Drosophila melanogaster: one gene and its partners. The protein of the gene in region 3 interacts with the protein of the main gene of each other region in a pairwise test. Each region holds a gene or a part of one and is shown on either strand. Other genes may lie near its edges. The genes, in order: CG7685, CG4676, Nha2 and Mtl.

What was found.
Region 1: the proteins of Nha2 (region 3) and CG7685 interact in a two-hybrid assay, tested with the Drosophila melanogaster proteins (one large-scale study listed by BioGRID).
Region 2: the proteins of Nha2 (region 3) and CG4676 interact in a two-hybrid assay, tested with the Drosophila melanogaster proteins (one large-scale study listed by BioGRID).
Region 4: the proteins of Nha2 (region 3) and Mtl interact in a two-hybrid assay, tested with the Drosophila melanogaster proteins (one large-scale study listed by BioGRID).

The regions. Positions count from the first base shown.
Region 1 is NT_033777.3:18,403,073-18,406,536, reverse strand, and holds CG7685 (uncharacterized protein), read right to left. Parts: upstream 1,598-3,464; 5' UTR 1,495-1,597; coding exon 1,378-1,494; intron 1,318-1,377; coding exon 1,112-1,317; intron 1,049-1,111; coding exon 730-1,048; 3' UTR 535-729; downstream 1-534. Other genes in the region: koko (kokopelli), read right to left, coding at 2,092-2,643, 2,704-2,848, 2,915-2,997.
Region 2 is NT_033778.4:13,234,289-13,237,582, forward strand, and holds CG4676 (uncharacterized protein), read left to right. Parts: upstream 1-1,691; 5' UTR 1,692-1,726; coding exon 1,727-1,967; intron 1,968-2,019; coding exon 2,020-2,633; 3' UTR 2,634-2,767; downstream 2,768-3,294. Other genes in the region: Qsox1 (quiescin sulfhydryl oxidase 1), read right to left, coding at 1-609; CG4679 (uncharacterized protein), read right to left, coding at 3,026-3,294.
Region 3 is NT_033777.3:22,995,499-23,000,282, forward strand, and holds the start of Nha2 (Na[+]/H[+] hydrogen antiporter 2), read right to left. Parts: upstream 3,031-4,784; 5' UTR 2,683-3,030; coding exon 2,667-2,682; intron 2,288-2,666; exon of another isoform or gene 2,286-2,287; coding exon 2,016-2,285; exon of another isoform or gene 956-2,015; intron 1-955.
Region 4 is NT_033777.3:27,634,944-27,640,383, reverse strand, and holds Mtl (Mig-2-like), read right to left. Parts: upstream 3,836-5,440; 5' UTR 3,548-3,835; intron 3,524-3,547; exon of another isoform or gene 3,331-3,523; intron 2,547-3,330; 5' UTR 2,497-2,546; coding exon 2,381-2,496; intron 2,312-2,380; coding exon 2,079-2,311; intron 2,006-2,078; coding exon 1,845-2,005; intron 1,762-1,844; coding exon 1,684-1,761; 3' UTR 513-1,683; downstream 1-512. Other genes in the region: CG5611 (uncharacterized protein), read left to right, coding at 4,345-5,218, 5,280-5,386.

The DNA of each region.
Region 1 (3,464 bases), 4.6 Mb from region 3:
AAACAAGACAAGAAAGCCAGCCAAGAAAGCAAACCAAGAGAAAATCCAGTGAGACGTACTGTGCATATAAGGGAAAAATTAATTACACACAAAATTTCGTACCTTGTAGAATTTGCAGTTCAAAATTGCTTTAGAGTTTGTCGATGTACATTTTACGGATTAAACTGCACAAAACATTTTTAGGCAAGAAGAACCATATTAACTAAAATTACAGACGGTCGTAGATGTAAATTGAACATTATAAATGAAAACGCTGCGAATTCGAAACCAAAAATCGCGCAGAGAAAGTCGAGCAAAAAAAAGAAAACAAAACAAAAAAGGAATTCCCAATGTAAATTCTACTGATTTTTGTGAGTCTGGTAATAAAATGAATAAGCATATATGGATAAAATGGCAGCTTCTTTTTTTCACATGTCCACAAAGATCTAATCTTGCAGCTGCTCCTCTGGCACCAAATTAAACATAGTTTTAAACAAATTGTACACATTAAATCCATCAGATTCTTTGAATGTGAAAACTGGAACAGGCCACATTGTGTTTCTTGGAATTCGTTTCTTTTATTCAATCTACTTATTTTAAAATAAATTACAATTCTATTGTACTCGTACAAAAAATATCGCTTGTGATGCGCCGCCCGACATCTTCATCCTTGAGATTGGTGTCCTAGGTGCACAGGTGGAGGAGATGGAAGAGGAATGGGAGTGGGAACGGGGTCCCGTCGGCCTGCGACTACGCACAGTCGTTGGGACACTTGGTCGCCGTGCTCCACTCATCGCTGCCGTCGCAGCAGTCGCACACGTGGTCATTAATGCGGCTGCTGGCCACGTAGATATCCAGGCCCCGGCCCGTGATGTGACGCTTCTGGTAGCGACAGTAGAATCGCCCCTTGGCGCAGGCATTCGTGCTGGGCTCGTCGCTGCCGTCCTCCTCACAGTCGCAGTAGTTGTCGTTCAGGTGGTCGAACGGGATCTCTTTGGAGCCGTCCAGACACCGGAACTTGCCCTCGAAGTTGGGCTTGTAGGCGTCGTAGTCGAAGAGCCGTGTGCCCCTAAAGGATAAAGACGAGGATGAGGAATTTTCCCAAGCCAGCAACAATGCATCTACTACACACCTGACAATCTTGATGGGATCCTCGTGACCCGCAACAGGTGAGGTTTCCCCGCCTGCCGGAGCAACTGCATCGGCGCCTCCGCCATCGAAATCGTCCACGTCGCGCTGTTTGCTGCCCAGGGACTGCATCATCTGCTGGTGCTTGCGCTTGATCTGCTGCAGATTCCACGGAGCAGGCACTCCGGGCAGCTGGTTCAGCGAGAAGGCCTATCGTTATTGTTTACACATTAAACACCGTGCACAGGAAAATCCTTGCGAGACTCTCACCTGATACGCGATGAACGAAATTCCGACCAGGAAGATCAGCAGCAGGAACATCTTCGACTTCTGCTTGTAGAAGGGCTTGAAGTATATATTCTCTCGCTTCACCCACGTCTTACGCATATTGTCCTTGTTTTTTCGCTCTGGCCAAGTAATGTATAAAAAATATGTTTTGTTTACGAACTAGCATTGTTTTTGTACATGCCTGCGTTAGTCAACACTGCTGGGCTGGGGCTAAGGGTTGCCACCCATCCCGGAATTTAATCAAATACAGAGCGATTTATTTAAATTTGTTTGATAAAGTGTAATATTTTTTTGTAAAACTTTTAACAGCTTAAAAGTATAATGAATTTGATTGAAATAAAAGCGCCAAACACCTTTTTGCTTTTCCTCAGAATCTTAAAGCATTTCACAACTCCAAAGACCCATTAACAATATCATTTTTCACAGAACAATTGTTTATTGAATCAGTGTATAAATAAGTTGTAAACTTTAGATCTATCGTCTTCGCTGATAGGTAAATGTACTTTCGCCCGTCGATCACATAAGCATTTCATTACCGGTCAATTTATTTGTTTTGGCAAGGGCATGATGTAAATGCATTGGACATTTGAGCATATGTACGTCTAGTAGTATCTGAGATTGGTTTATGAGGTGGCGAGGGGAAAATAAATAAGTTCAGATGGCAGAAGGAATGGTTTTGGCAGTCTCTCTCAGCGATTAGGTGGCATTCAGGAAGCCCTCGTTCTTGTAGACCTCGATCACGTTCTCGATGATCTCCCACTGGTTCTCTCGGGTGAAGTCCTTGACCAAGGGCTTGTACCACATGGCGGATTCGTCGGACTCGTCGGTTAGCGGCACCTGGATGCCGTAGGTCTGGAGGGCCAGCGACAGGCACCCAATGGCCACATGGGTGGGCTTGTACTTGAGGATATTGGCGCTGTGGTGAAAGTCTTGCAGATACGAGGCGGCTGCCTTGGCAATGGGCACCGAGTTCCACACCTCAGTGCCCACCCAGTCTTGTAGGGTCTTCATGTAGTGGAGTAAGTACTTGTGGGCCAGATCTATGTTGAGATCGAAGCACAGGGTGCGCGTGATGAGCAGCTCAGCCTGGACAATGGCATCCCGCATCGACCAGTACTCATCGTTCAGGTCGACTGGATCATTGCCCCGGTTAAGGGTGCAGTATGCCACGTTGATGACATCGCGTATCTTGACACTTTCGTCTTCCTTAATTTTGCCAGCCAAGTACAGCGAGCCCGCGGCAATGAGCTGTGGATTCCAGAAAGTTTCTCATGAGATGGGGTCGTTTTGGGGGCATATATTACTCACGAACTCATCGTAGTCGCTGGCCTTGACCTCGCGGAAGAAGCGATGGAACACTATGGCCGCACAGGCCGCCGTCAGCGGTTTCATTTTCAACTTGGCAGCGCACTCAAAGATGTACATCGGCACCACGCCGGGTTTGTTCATTTTGCTGCGGCACAGATGGCACAGATATGTATATATTGGTGGTATCTTTAGATTGGATCATTCAACTTACCGATAGTCGATGGGCTTCATGGTCTGCGCCTTGTTCAACTCCACGTGCTGCTGCATCGACATGACATCCAAAACGTTTTTCATGCTGCTACTCCCAGGCCGAACTGAATGAAAGGATGAATGTGGGTGGATTTAAGCAATTTCGTTAACACTCGAGGAGCAAGATAAAAGCAATTGGACTGGTTGGGGAAATGGATGTGAACTGAGACCACCGAAAAGTCGAAAGGCGACAAACCGGTTTGATTGGGCTGCAGCGCTGTAATGGGAGATATGGTATCATATGCAGGGCGATCGGGAAAACTAACGGGCCCGAAGGTATGTCAGCTGTTCGATTGGAATCCAATACAACGGTGCACGGATTTGTTTGTCTTGTGGGAACTCCCAATGGTGTTTTCAAAAATAGTACCTACAACTACGGGCCAAACAGCTGTTCAAGTACACAGTGTTGATTAAGGATAATGCTTCCGTTTCAAAGGGTTATACAAGATAATCAACCCTAATAAATAATTACAGGAAAGCGCTGATCCATAGTTACATTTCTATTTGAATTT
Region 2 (3,294 bases), on a different chromosome or scaffold from region 3:
GTACTCCGTGGCGCTGCTGAGACCTTCGAACAAACTGCTGGCTGAATCGTTCTCCGTTAAGTAGTGAAAGTTTGGCCAGTAGGAATTGTTGTGGCTGCTGGTCAGGTTCTCTGCGGCCACCATACCCGCTAGTATTTCGCGGATTTCGTTTTTATCCTGCGTATGCAGGCTCTGCCCGTAATGCTGAGGACCCGGCTGGAAACCGGGGCCCAGATAACGTAGCGTTGGATAGCCCATCACCTCGTAGTTGCGGCAGATGCCATTGTTCTCCTCGGCGGCGCAATCGATGGCCGCCACGATGAGCACCTCGGACCAGGGCAACAGGTGCTCCGCTACCGACTTGTACGTGGGTGCGAATCTGCGACAGTGGCCGCAGTAAGTGTTGTAGAACTCGACTAATGCTCCGCGATTCTGGTCCAGGACGGTAGCATTGAAGTTGTCGACCGACAGGCGGATAACCTTATCCCCGTCGTCGTAGAGACCCAGTGTGGGATCCGATGGAGGGGACTGCTGCTTGAGGAGCGCCTCGTATCGCGGAAGGGGAACGCCCGCGGATGCGATGTCCACCAGCAGAGCGACGGCCAGAATCACCAGGTGCGTCGCCGACATTTTGCGGATCTACCCAATTTGCGGGATCGGTTGCGGCTGCGATTCGTACGGAATGCGATGTGGAACGCGACTGCTCTGCTGCGATAAGATTTAACTTCACCGAAGCATTTGGAATGTTTTACGGTCGCAAGTGGTTTGATTAACTGCTGCCAGGGATGCCAAATCGTCTGCTTTCTAGCTACGATTCTTCAGCTATTTTCAAAACTCGCGAAGCGAAACGATGTTAAACGTTTTTCGTGCCATATAATTTGTGCATTTTTAAATTACTTTGCCTATTAATTTGTTTTATTGTCAGTAAAAGTCATTTGGTATATATGTATAAACTACTAGCTACACGAATTCATTTTTACTGCGAACTAGTTCGCTCCCAAAATTTTAAAACCTAAAAAAGAAAAAAATTATTAAAGTAATATAAAAAGAACAGTGCACCTAGGCTAGGCAATGTTTTATACCTGCTTGCACTCTACATCAAGGAAATGATTATTTTTCACAATTTAAAACTTTACATTGTTTAGTTAAACATATTCTTTTATTTTATTGTCTCGTTCGTCATATGGTTTTCGATAATCCGCAAAAAAAAACCCCAACCTATTATGCACACGTATATATTAATTGAATCGCCTTTAAAAGTTCCAAGAAAAAAAACAAAGCAAAGTTTCATCGAAGCGCTATGCCTTATCAATTTTGTATGGTTTTTGTTTTTGTAATTTCACAGTAGAAATCCCCATTATAAAGTCGTTCTTTAATTTCAAATAAAATTTTATTTTTAATTTCAAGTTTTTATGTAATAATATAAAGCAAACTTAAGAACTTAAGCTTATAACATTTGTATTCCTTTAATATACCATCGTTTATGACATTTGATTTATTCGTATTAAGTTACTTATTATTACCTTATATATTTATATTTCTTTAAATTAAATCATTTGTGTTCTTTAAAAACCGGATTGCTTCTGTTAAATTCAATCTTATTTAACATTTTACGGGTTTCCTAACGTAAAGAGTTGTGTTCTAACCGTTTCACCATACTCGACTTAACAGTCTTACCGTTAGCAGCAGAGCCAAAAATCGCTTTGCAGCACTGTCTCAGTTGGGGGGTACAAAAAATAACGGGAGCATGATGATTTTGCGCTCGTGGGATCGCGTTAAACCTCGTTCCATTTCGGATTTCGCATGTTTCCTCCTGGTGGCTGTCTTTGTGCCCGTGACATACATCTTCCATGTGACCATTGTTATGCCGGAACTGTTTGCCATCGGAGGGATTTGGTACACGTTATTATGGTTGGCCAGCCTGTTCCTCATCTTCAACATCACATCCAACATGCTGGCCTGCATGCTTGTGGACACTAGTATCCGCAGTGGGTAGCAAGCAGTGATTTTGTGGTATCCCTTCTAAGATTGTCTTTATAGAGGAGCTGCTGAAGCCACCGTTGGATGCGGCGCAGCTGGCACGGTGGCACTCTTGCCAGGATTGTCAGACATTGGTGCCACCTCGATCCTGGCACTGCGAAGTGTGCAACGTGTGCGTGCTGAAGCGGGACCACCACTGTCGGTTCACTTGCTGCTGCATCGGGCATCACAACTACAGGTACTTCTTCTACTACCTGGTTTACATGATCATCGGATCCTTGGCGGCCGCCATCATGGAGAGCATCTATCTGTGGCATCTCCATCTGGACATCTACTGGCGCTGGTCTACGCTGTTCACCATATTTGCTCCCGTGGTTAGCCTGATGCTGTCTCCAAGCTGGGAGTCCTTCTACTTGGTCATATATGATCTCACCCTTCTGGGCTTCGCCATATCATCCTTGCTCCTTGTCTTCCACTGGTCGATATTCAAGAGCGGTTCGGTGACACGAGAGCGCGGCACAAGAAAGTACGATCGCGGTTTGCGGGGTAACCTGGAGATGGTTCTGGGCAAGAGAATGCATCTCACCTGGCTGTCGCCGTTTCTACGCAGCGATCTGCCACACGACGGAATGAACTGGGAACCCATAGCCGCCTTTTCTCCAAAGGAGGAATAGATCTGAATTGTGTCTTACCCATTCTTGACATTCATTAGAGGCATTTACTTATATCTACTTCATAACAAAATCAGTATTGTTTATTTTAAGACTCACTAGTCAACATCTGAATTGGAAATAGTATCCAAATTTATACGTCTTACTATTCTCTACTTGACCAATGGAAATTAATTTTTAATGTTTACAAGTCACACATTTGATCAGCTTACAAGTTAAAATAGTACAAAGCCTTTTATTAACATAAAGCTTTACAAAATATTTAGAATACTGTGTATTCATTCAGTAATGTCTATTATATGTATTAAATTAATCTGTTTAATGAAACCAAACAAGTATTTATTAAATGGTTATTTATTTAACAGCGTTCATTATATAATTTACAAAAGACTCTACTACTTATCGAGGAAACTTTCGCCTACGAGCGATTTCAGCTTAGACAGGTGTGTTTCATTTAGGGTAAATCCTTCATGAATACGTTTGGCTAACTCCCTGGAATCAAAGTTGTTCTCAACGGCATATTGCAGGGCAAACAGCGCCTGGCTGGGTGACTTCTCCTGCACACTTGCGTCCACAAATTCTATCAGAGCATTTAGGCTTGGTGTTCCGGGAATTCTGTGCTGGTTCTTGTCAATGTGGGCGAAGACTTCGGTCGCCTTTTCGT
Region 3 (4,784 bases):
CCTGATGCCGACTTGCAACTCCACATGCAGCGCGCATTCGGAAAATAATTTCTTTGCGTGGAAGAAGATTGCATTCCGTTGTCACGCACTTCCTGCCAAGAGATGAACTCACGCCCCAGCGATTCGCATCGAATTTAGTGCTCATACATCGCAAATCAGTGGAAACTGGCACTTTCTTGGCTCCGGGCTGGTAAACTATATAAAAATGGTAGAGAAATGAGGTCACAAAGCGCCATTCAGCGCCATGCTGGTAAATAAAAGAGCCAGAGACAAATTGAAAAAAAAAACCCCCGTTGCAGCTCGGCAAATAAGCAGCCAAAGTCTGACAGGTGGTCAAAGGTTAAGTGCGGGAGGGGCGACTAAGTGCAGTTTTAGTAATTAGCTGTGGCGCAAGTGCAAGTGCCTGCAAATCCTTCAGATTTAGCCAAAGTATTCAAGCCTCCAAAGTGGGCCAACACAGCTGCGAAACGCACCAGCGCCAATTGAAATGGCGTCGAAAGGGTTTTCGTGACGGTTAACATTCTACCATTCATTTGGCAATCATTATGCTGAGTCACAGTCTAGCTGGCATTTATAAATGTCGCACACTGCGTATACGTAATGAACTGACTTGCACACACACACACACAGGCGCATGAGGCGAATGCGCAATGCACTGCATTTATCAATAGACGAGTGCATGTTTGTGTGCCAAGCGTATATCATGTTGGCTTTAGTTAACAGAAATGTCACCGTTTCACTCACAAGCAGAAGCGACAGGTGAAATGTGGATGGGGCAGGTGGATGGTAGGGCTGTGCCATTCAAGGTTGAGCTTGAGGAATTGCCCCAAACGCTGCATTTAAATGGAATTTATTTAATATAAACGAGTGCCTGCACATGCGAGCATTAGTGCTGCCTGCAGCGGTGCGCAAACTTATTTAAATATGACTTCCACAGTCAAATCAGAGTCAGACGCGAAATGGAAACGGGCATCGGAATCGGAATCGGAATCTGAATCAGAATCAGTGGTGCACTCCGAATGTGAAAGCGAATAGCAAATGCGAAATGAATGCACAGGAAATGAGCCCCGGTTAATGCATATTCATGGGAACATACTTTGCCGAGAGCCGCGGGCTTTTGCCACTCGTGTTAGTTGTATGATTGCGGGCATTTGGGCGCAACTAAACTGGCTCATTATTCGTGTGAAAATGCCACAATTGCGATGGCCCAAAGGGAAGTTCTCCCCAATTCTCCCAAAAAGTTGTACAATGGACTGGTGCGAAAACCCGCATTTGAACAGATGCAAAACAATTGCTGCTCTGGGAGTTTCAAAAATACTAGCTACTCGGCTGTGGGCGAAAAACCAGCAAGGGCCACCTGCCAAAACAGAGGAGCGTAAACAAAAAGCTCGGCCAACGAAAGTGGTCCACACACATGGCCAGCAGGGCACAGCCTTGCATATTTCCAGAAATCAGAAGGAATGTGTAGGAAATGCCTGCCTTTGAGTTTGAGCCGGGACGGTAGATGCACTGGACTGTCAATCGCAGACACTCTGTCGTCAATATGCGGAAATATTACGTATACGCCCCTGTGTCCCCCGCCCGCCTTCGCCATCTTGTGCAAGATGTGATTGTGCGGTTCACTTAAAATCGAAATGCCTCAATCAGCTCCTGCCAGTTGAGAGAAAAAGCTGTGATTCTGCCAGGATATCTCGACGGCGAAACAAAAACTTTGCATAAACAAACTATGAATACTCGTATATGTGCTGAAGTGCATATGTGCATATCTGAGCACGCATTGTGCACTTGGCTGTCGGAGCCACTTCGCTTGGCTGGCCAACAAAGCGTTGGCATGGAGCTGTTCCACTGGATGTCTCTGTCTTCAGCATCCTTTTTGCCGTCCTGTCTGCGGGTTGTGTGCACACTGATCCGGGGAGCTGGTTGCATAAAGGCAAGAATTTCCGTAACAAATACTTTCGTTCCGCATTTTTCGAATTTCCCCATGACGACGCGGTGCAATTAAACATATCACTCACCTTCGATGGCGCTTGGCGCGGTGCTTCCATGGGCACGAGGGGGCACCTGTGGCTTGTCGCCAAGGAGGTGCTCCTTTTCCGGCTCCAGGATGCTGGCGGTCACCGTTTCGCTGGCTCGACGCAGCATATGCAATGGAGTCAAGTTCGCATCACGATCGCGTTCGAAATCTTGCTGGCAGGAGGACATTTGATACGAGTCCTCGAAGGGATTGCTGCTGCGAAAGGCTTGCAAGGGTGGACCCTCACTGCCTGCCACTACATCCAATATATCTAAAAAAAAATATATATATATATATAAATTAATTTGTATGATATTAAAATTAAAATCGCTTTATATTCATACTTTTTTCCCACAAAAAAAATTGACTCAAGCTATTTGGTAACATTTTTAATTACGCATGATAGATAAAGCCGAAGGGTTGCTAATCAAACAAAAAATATTGATAATTCCATTCTACCATTCTTATTTTCCAGTCCCAAGTATATAAATAAAAGAGTTAATTTCCCAACAATTTGACTTGTGGAAGCCCGAACATATTTGCACACGATTTATTTATTGGCACTTGGGCAAAAAGTGGCATTTAATTGATTAACCATAAACTCGTAAATTAACGCCGAAAGTGAGTATCGAAAGCTGCCAGAATCGCTTACCGGAATCGCTGCTCATGTCGAATGTCGGCGAAATCCAGAGAACAAAACAAAACTGAGTGATTGAGTGAAAAAAACGCGGAAAATAATGCCAAAGAGCGACAACTGCTGACGCAATCAGTACGATGACGTAGTCCAAATGGCTATTCTTGGCTCAAAATTGACGAGTGCCAAAGAGAAACGCCGCGGTTTGAAGAGATTGGTTAGCTGCGAATCGAGTGGATATATAGTATATAGTATAGTATATGCAGGGAACGGAACACGCGCGACACGACCGGCGGAAAGGCGGAATGAAATAGTGTAGTAGCCCCGGAACTTGAGCACTTGGAGCTTCTTTTTATTACAGCTCATGCACTGGCAAATATTTGCCAAACGCATTAATTAGAAAAGCAAAAGCCATTTAAACAAGCAATTGCCGATTCGCGCAGCTCCAGCGAGCGCTCTTCGATTAAAACTAATTGGCAAACAAACAAGCTCTGCGGAAGGCGAACCTTCTGTTTTCATTGCTGTCGAGCGAAAAGTGCGGAATGAGTTGGTTTCTGGGTTGGGTGAAATGAGGGGTGGGGGTGGGGTCTGTTTGGAAGCACTTACATATTTATAAGGGGTTCGTTTATCTGCGATTCAATATGCCCATAGTTTTCTAAGGCGCAGCCAATTAGCTGATAAATAATTGTCATGTAATCATAATTTATCTGAACTAGATAAGGCGCCGAATAGCCGCGTTATTAATAGACCTCTAATCATAGCGCATTTCCCATGTGTGAGTGTCGGAATGATTAAACGCTTTCACTTTTTTTTAGGGAAATGTGCGCGACCTGCCCCATTTGAGCTCTATCATTGGGGCGGCAATTCTGTGCCATAGATGGCGCTTTAGTTTGCCAGCTGCGTTTACATGGTATTAAAAAAAAAACTACCTTATATTGTTTTTATTATTAATTATTAATTTTTGTGAGCTTGGAAAGCAATTATATTTCCTTGAAGTAAAAAGAGTTTCGCTTGTCTTGCAAATTGTTTTTCTGACAATTTGCATTTTGACGTTGCTCATCATATTGGGCGCCGTGGCCACTCCCACGCCGTGGCTGTAATTTAATTGCTTCGCTGGAATATTTTTAATTTACCTGATGGACAAACCAGCCCCATGACAAAGATAACCAATCGCAGTGACGTCACCACCATTATCCAGTGCTCCAGTCAGATCATCTCCTCATCAGGTGCCACACGTTGTTGCGCAAAAAAAGTGTCGTTTGCGAAAATATTTAATTTATTTTAACTATGCACACACACTTTTTTGCACTGTATGGAGTTGCAGTTGCACTCTCACTCTATAAGATGGCCATTATGACGACGATGATGATGACTATGATGATGGCTCAAAAAAAACAGGACATTGTGAGGTGCGGGGCGCTGCAAAAAGGATAATACAACTTTCTCGCTCTATTTGCCACGCACACACATGTTGTTACAGTGCCGTGATTTTTGTTGCATCAAATTGGAATTTTTTCCTTAAATATGGTAAACATCGATGGGGCAGAGATTTATGTATAGTGCAGCGGCGCGTTGATGAAAATGACTCGCCGCTGCATTGACCGTGTTTACTGTTTGTCAGACAGGGCAGCAATTTACGCCCACATGCAAAAAACATTAATTTGCATGCAAGTCAATTATCAGGAGGCAGCAAACAGACAGGCGCTAGTTACCAGTTTTCAGTATTCAGTTTTCTGTTTTGAGTTTTCAGTTTTCAGTTTTTCAATTTCTTTTGCACAAACATTGGTGTTATTATTCCGCCATAAGGATGCAAGGACTAATGGAGATACTCTTGAAATGGGTCATGATATTCCAAAAGAATCGCATATGGCGCAGAAAGATTTATTTTGTTTTTCATTAAAGTACCATACAAACCATTAATTTAGCTCGCTACTCTTATAGAGCATCTGCAGGTTGTTGAGCTCAACGTGGACACTCAATGGCGAGGACTTTCAAACTGCCAGGCCAGCACATTTCTAAATGTTTTTATTAATTAAAAATATTGCAAATTAAACACATTTCCAAATTGCGTTTTGCATTTTTCGTATAAATACGCGGTCGATGGAAAAAATGCAAATATAATTTACAAAGCATACA
Region 4 (5,440 bases), 4.6 Mb from region 3:
AGCTATGACAACTATTTTGCATCACTCCTGCTCCTCCAGCGAGTCCGAGCCGATTGTCTCTAAACACCTCTCTTTCGATTCCCGCAGTATTGGAAGGCACCGCGCATCCAGCGGGCCACCACACTCACCTCGTCCATGTCCCTGCCGGCGGAGTGCCTGGTTCTCTCCGTATCCATGCCCTCGCTCAACTCGGAGCCCAAGCGTCCCAAGAGCGCGGGACCCAAGAAGAAGCCCGGCCAGGCCGTCCACTCGAAGCCATTCCGCCTATATTGAGCCTGTCGAGGAAGGAGCTGCTCCACAAGTCGCACGTGACGTCACCCAATCGAAGCACTCAGAGATTTGTGCACAAGTTGATATCGAGGCACGCACTTCTAAAACATGCATATGCAGAATACATTTTATCAAACCGTTGATTGTTTAGAACCGAAATGGAAACGAAACTTGGCATTTACAACATAACAATAAACGACTAAATGAGAGGCAAAGTTAAGCACAAAATACAGCTGTGGTTTGTTTGTTTGTTTCTTTATATAATTACAGTATATATTTTCGTAAGTATTAAATCTGTTTCACGGCTACTACATCGCTGGAGCCAAACGGCCTTCGTTTACATTTCATTTACATAAGACTTGCGTTTGATTTTCTATATATAATTAGTACAAAAATTGTCCTGGGATTTCGTTACGTCTCATTGCGTCTTTATCATCGTGCTCATTGTGTGTTTGGAAAACTGTGTGCTTTTCTTGGTTTCTTTAGGTTTTGTATTCGTTTTTGATTCTTGTTCCTTTCGATTATTCGAGTCGCGTCACATTTAAATGCATTTAGTTGCCTTTTTCCATTTACATCATCCTTTTGCTCTACTTAAGCCATAAAAGTTGTTTATACAATTCGTTTTTAAAGTTAGGGTAATAAATAGGTCATTATAAAATAATAAACAACAGTTGTTACATTTTCAAAAGACATCGTCAAATGAGCTTCAAGTGATTATGATTATGATTCGAGGGTCGAGTTAGAATTAAAAAAATGCGCATGCTTGAATATCATAAAAAGTGGCTTCTCTAAGAGCTCGTCGTCAAGTGAATTGGCCTGGTTTCAGATTTGGTTAGCTGCGGATTGGCTGCCTTAGCTCATGGCTATATATAACTATAATACATTTAATGGGAAACTAGGAAATGCATAGATGCTCGTGATATGCGAAACCAATGTTTGCTGCGGTTGTTATAATTTTCTCTTTCTGCCAGATACTATTCGTACAATACATTCGATTCAATTGACTAGATTTCTACATATGTAGTGCATTAGATTTATGATTTATCTGTGGTACCGATTTTGTTAACAATGTTTTTTTTAGTTGTTGCGGGAGGGAATCGTGGTTTGCCAAATGTGTGACAGCAACGATCCGCAGAAAAAAACAGCCAAACAAAGAGAAATTTCATACGAATTTTGATGGCAGTACATTTCGATTCACAGAATTTCGTACAATATTTATCGTTTGTTTAGAGTTTCTTTCCGGGTTCGGTGCCTTTTACGAGAGTACGGAGAATTTTATAAATAAATACATGTAATTGATTTGTCGATGAGGGCGCTGCGTGAGTGTCAATTTGTTGTGGCCATTGTGCCGGTGTACGTGTCGCTTCCGAGGAATCTCTATACTTCGCCAAAGCCAATAACATTCTACCTTATTTACATTATTAAACACTTTCGCTGGCGTCGCTTTAGCGGCTCTGGTCTGAGCACCGCGCGCACCGCTTCCTCGAACACCTGAATTTGCAATCGGAGTGGGAAGGGAAATTTAATGATGAATAAGGGGTAGGTGGAGGGTGTGCCGGGCACCGATGACTTACCGGCTTGAGACCGCGCTGCGTCAAGGCGGAGCACTCCATGTATTTCACAGCGCGTATCTTGTTTGCCAGCTTCTGGCCCTGCTCGCGCTTCAGCGGCGTCAGTCCCTGCTCTGCCAGGCCGCTGAGTGTCTCTCGATCTTCGCGCAAATCGATTTTGGTGCCTGGAATACGCCCAAAGATATATGTATGATTCTCGTTTTCTGATTGCAGTTTTCATGTCGCTTGGCAACTTACCAACTAGAATGATGGGCGCATCGGGACAGTGGTGCTTTATCTCCGGATACCATTTCGAGGTGACGTTCTCAAAGGACGAGGGACTCGCCACGCTGTAGCATATCAGGAAAACGTCTGTCTGCGGGTAGGATAGCGGTCTCAGGCGGTCGTAGTCCTCCTGACCCGCCGTATCCCACAGTCCCAGCGAGACCTGTATTGTGTCCACTTGCATGGGCGCCGAGTAGTTGTCGAAGCTGTGAAAGATATCATAGTAAAAGTTAGATATCGATCTGCGGTTTGCGGCTATCGAGGCACAAACTTACACTGTGGGCACATATTCGCCGGGAAAGCAGTCTGTCGTGTAGGAGATTAGCATGCAGGTCTTTCCGACGGTGCCGTCACCAACGACTACACACTTTATGGGCCTTCCGGTTGACATCGTGAGTGTGCTGAGTGTGCCTGTGCCGATAGCTGTGTACTGTCTGTGTGCTGTGGGCAAAATAAGATGGAAGATGAATGTCTTCGCCAGCTTAATTCAATTAATTAAGTTCTATTCGAGGCAATAAACCCGCCAGTGCCAACTGACCGCAAATTATTTCACAGTCGTACTTCCTTAATAAAAATTCTTTAAAATAGAAACAAATGCTGTAGAAATACATATATGACACAATAAATTATCCTATTCGTTTTATTAGGTTTTTATAAATAAATTAACTACCACATCGTTTTTGGCGCGCAACTACATATATATAAGATAAACAATTGCTTAAATGGAATTTGGCAACTTTTAAAATTTGAATATCTAGACAAATTGAATCAGGATACTTGCTTCCTGAGTCGCAAACTATTTATATTGTATTAATGGAAGTTATACTTATTGGAGTATGCTACATCGTAAAGTGGGAATGTCCAAGCTGTGGAAGTACTACTGTACAGAGTATAATGGCGAAGGTCTACGGTATATCTCTGGGATGATCAAAGGCAGGGCTCTCGAAAGGTGTGTCCCGGCCGCAAAAAGAAAGCAACCGCAGCGGCGGAGGCCCATAAAGCCTAATAAAACGAACGAGGGTCTCATTTCGGTTGCGGTGGCACTTTGTTTTCGCAAATAAAATTTTCAAAAATAGATCATGATGGGCGACACAGACGGGGAAAAACAAAAAGCATAAATGGGAGCAGCGGACCAAATGGCGACCGCCCCTCCAGTGGCGCCCCTTCGGCGGTGGGCGGGGTCGCCCGAGTGTTGTGGTGACGCGGAAGCCACCGGCAGACGCACCGCATCGAGAAAAAGAAACACAAAATGGGAAAATGAACCGCCCGAAAATAGACACAATTAAGTTCTCATAACCGATTCAATTAAAGTTCAACACACAGAGGCGGCACATATTGCGCCACATGCAACGGGGCTGGGCGTGGCCGCGGGGGCGGGTGCGGTAGCAATGAAAATCTTTTGTTGTGGCACAACACCGAATGGGAATACAATATTATTTTACCGTTTTCACCACCACCTATCCTTTTCCTTTGTCTGTCGGCAGGCGGCGACTGTTTTGTACTTGGCTTATATCACTGTGCGTTTTCCGGCTACCGATATGCGTTCGAGGCGATGGTCCATGCGGCGCATTTAAATAATTGATTCGCACTATTTCGCAGCGGCTTTTACTTATAAATATCTGTTTGAGGGACAAAACGCAGCGTCCCCGAATAATTTTCGTGTTTTTCCTTTTTGTTTCCACTCCACACAAACACACACCCACCTTTTTGACAGCGCAGCGACGCTCTCTCTCTCGCCGTTGACAGTGGTGCCAACTTAGGGCCAGAAAATAGCTGACGGTAAATATAAAAAAATCACTTAAATGTATGGTACCAATAACTAAACTTAATAAGCATATCATCCAGTATAAAGTCGTTTTTCTTTTTCCAAAACTAAAATAAACTTTTTTTTACAATTGGCACTTAAAAATCAGCTAGACTTGGCGTGAAAAAAGAGAGCGGGTAGTCCAGCTCCGCTCTCTCGAAACTGACAAGCAGTGCTGCAAAAGGTGCAGGGCTCAGGCGGATTTGGCATTATACAATACTAATAGGCATGGTTGTGGGAGAGGGGTTGCAACCAATTTTCACATTGTAAACAAAATTATTTATTTAATTCTATTTCGAGCAGAATATTGTAATAATTACCTGTTAATTAAAAAATTATCATTTTAAAATTATCTTATGTAAGTTCAATACCCTTTAATTGCTATCGACTACGCCCATGCTGCCTATGTCCACTGTTGTTGTTTCGAGCGTCGTAATGAGCAGATTTGTTTATAAACTTTTACAGAGTGCAAACCAAACTAGTTCGGGCTGCAGACGCATTTCTTTGGCTACTGTAAGAAATGCGGAAAGCGAATCTCAAGAGGGTGCCCCTGCCCGCACAGTTCTGGTGGAGAAGGACTCGCACATAACACTTATTGGCCTAAATCGCGAGCAGCAGCGTAATTCCATTGATGCCAACACCGCGGAGCAGCTGACCGAAGCCATTAGCCAATTCGAAGCGGATGATACTTCTCCAGTGGGTGTGCTCTACGGCATAGGTGGCTCCTTTTGTGCAGGCTATGATCTGGAGGAGCTAGAGGCGGAGGCGCAACGCGGCAGCCTCAACTTTCTGTTGCGTCACGAGGGCTCCGTCGGACCAACTAGGCGGCATCTCCGCAAGCCACTTGTTTGCGGCATCAGCGGTTTCTGTGTGGCCGGTGGATTGGAACTGGCTCTAATGTGCGATCTCCGGGTGATGGAGGACACTGCAGTTCTGGGGTTCTTCAACCGTCGCCTTGGAGTTCCCCTGAGCGATGGTGGAACTGTGCGGCTGGCCGCTGCAGTGGGTTACTCCAATGCCTTGGAGATCATCGCAACTGGAAGACGCATCTACTCTGGGGAGGCGCGGCGAATCGGTTTAGTGAATCGCGTTGTGGCCACAGGCACAGCTTTAGGTCAAGCTGTTAATCTGGCCTTTTCCATTGCCAAGTTCCCCATGGCTTCCCTAATGCACGACAGGAATGCTGTGCTTGAAAATGCCAATGCCTACAACAAACCAGGATTCCATGTGGCCAGTTACAATGAGATCATGAATGTTACCTCAGATATGATAACAGATATGCAGGAGGGCGTGAAGCGTTTCAAGAACTGTGAGTAGTGTTCGTGTTCATTCCTAGAAACACTTTGTTACCTTCCTTTTTTATATTTTAGCTGAAATAAAGGGCCCCAAAACCGATTCGTGGAGCATAAAGGAGAAAACCATTCCAGATTGGGAAAAGGCCGAAATCGAGATCGAAAAACAAAAGCAAAAGACATGACATATGTAGTTAGCTGATATATACAAAACTTCTGTTCTTCTGGTTAGTTGCAAT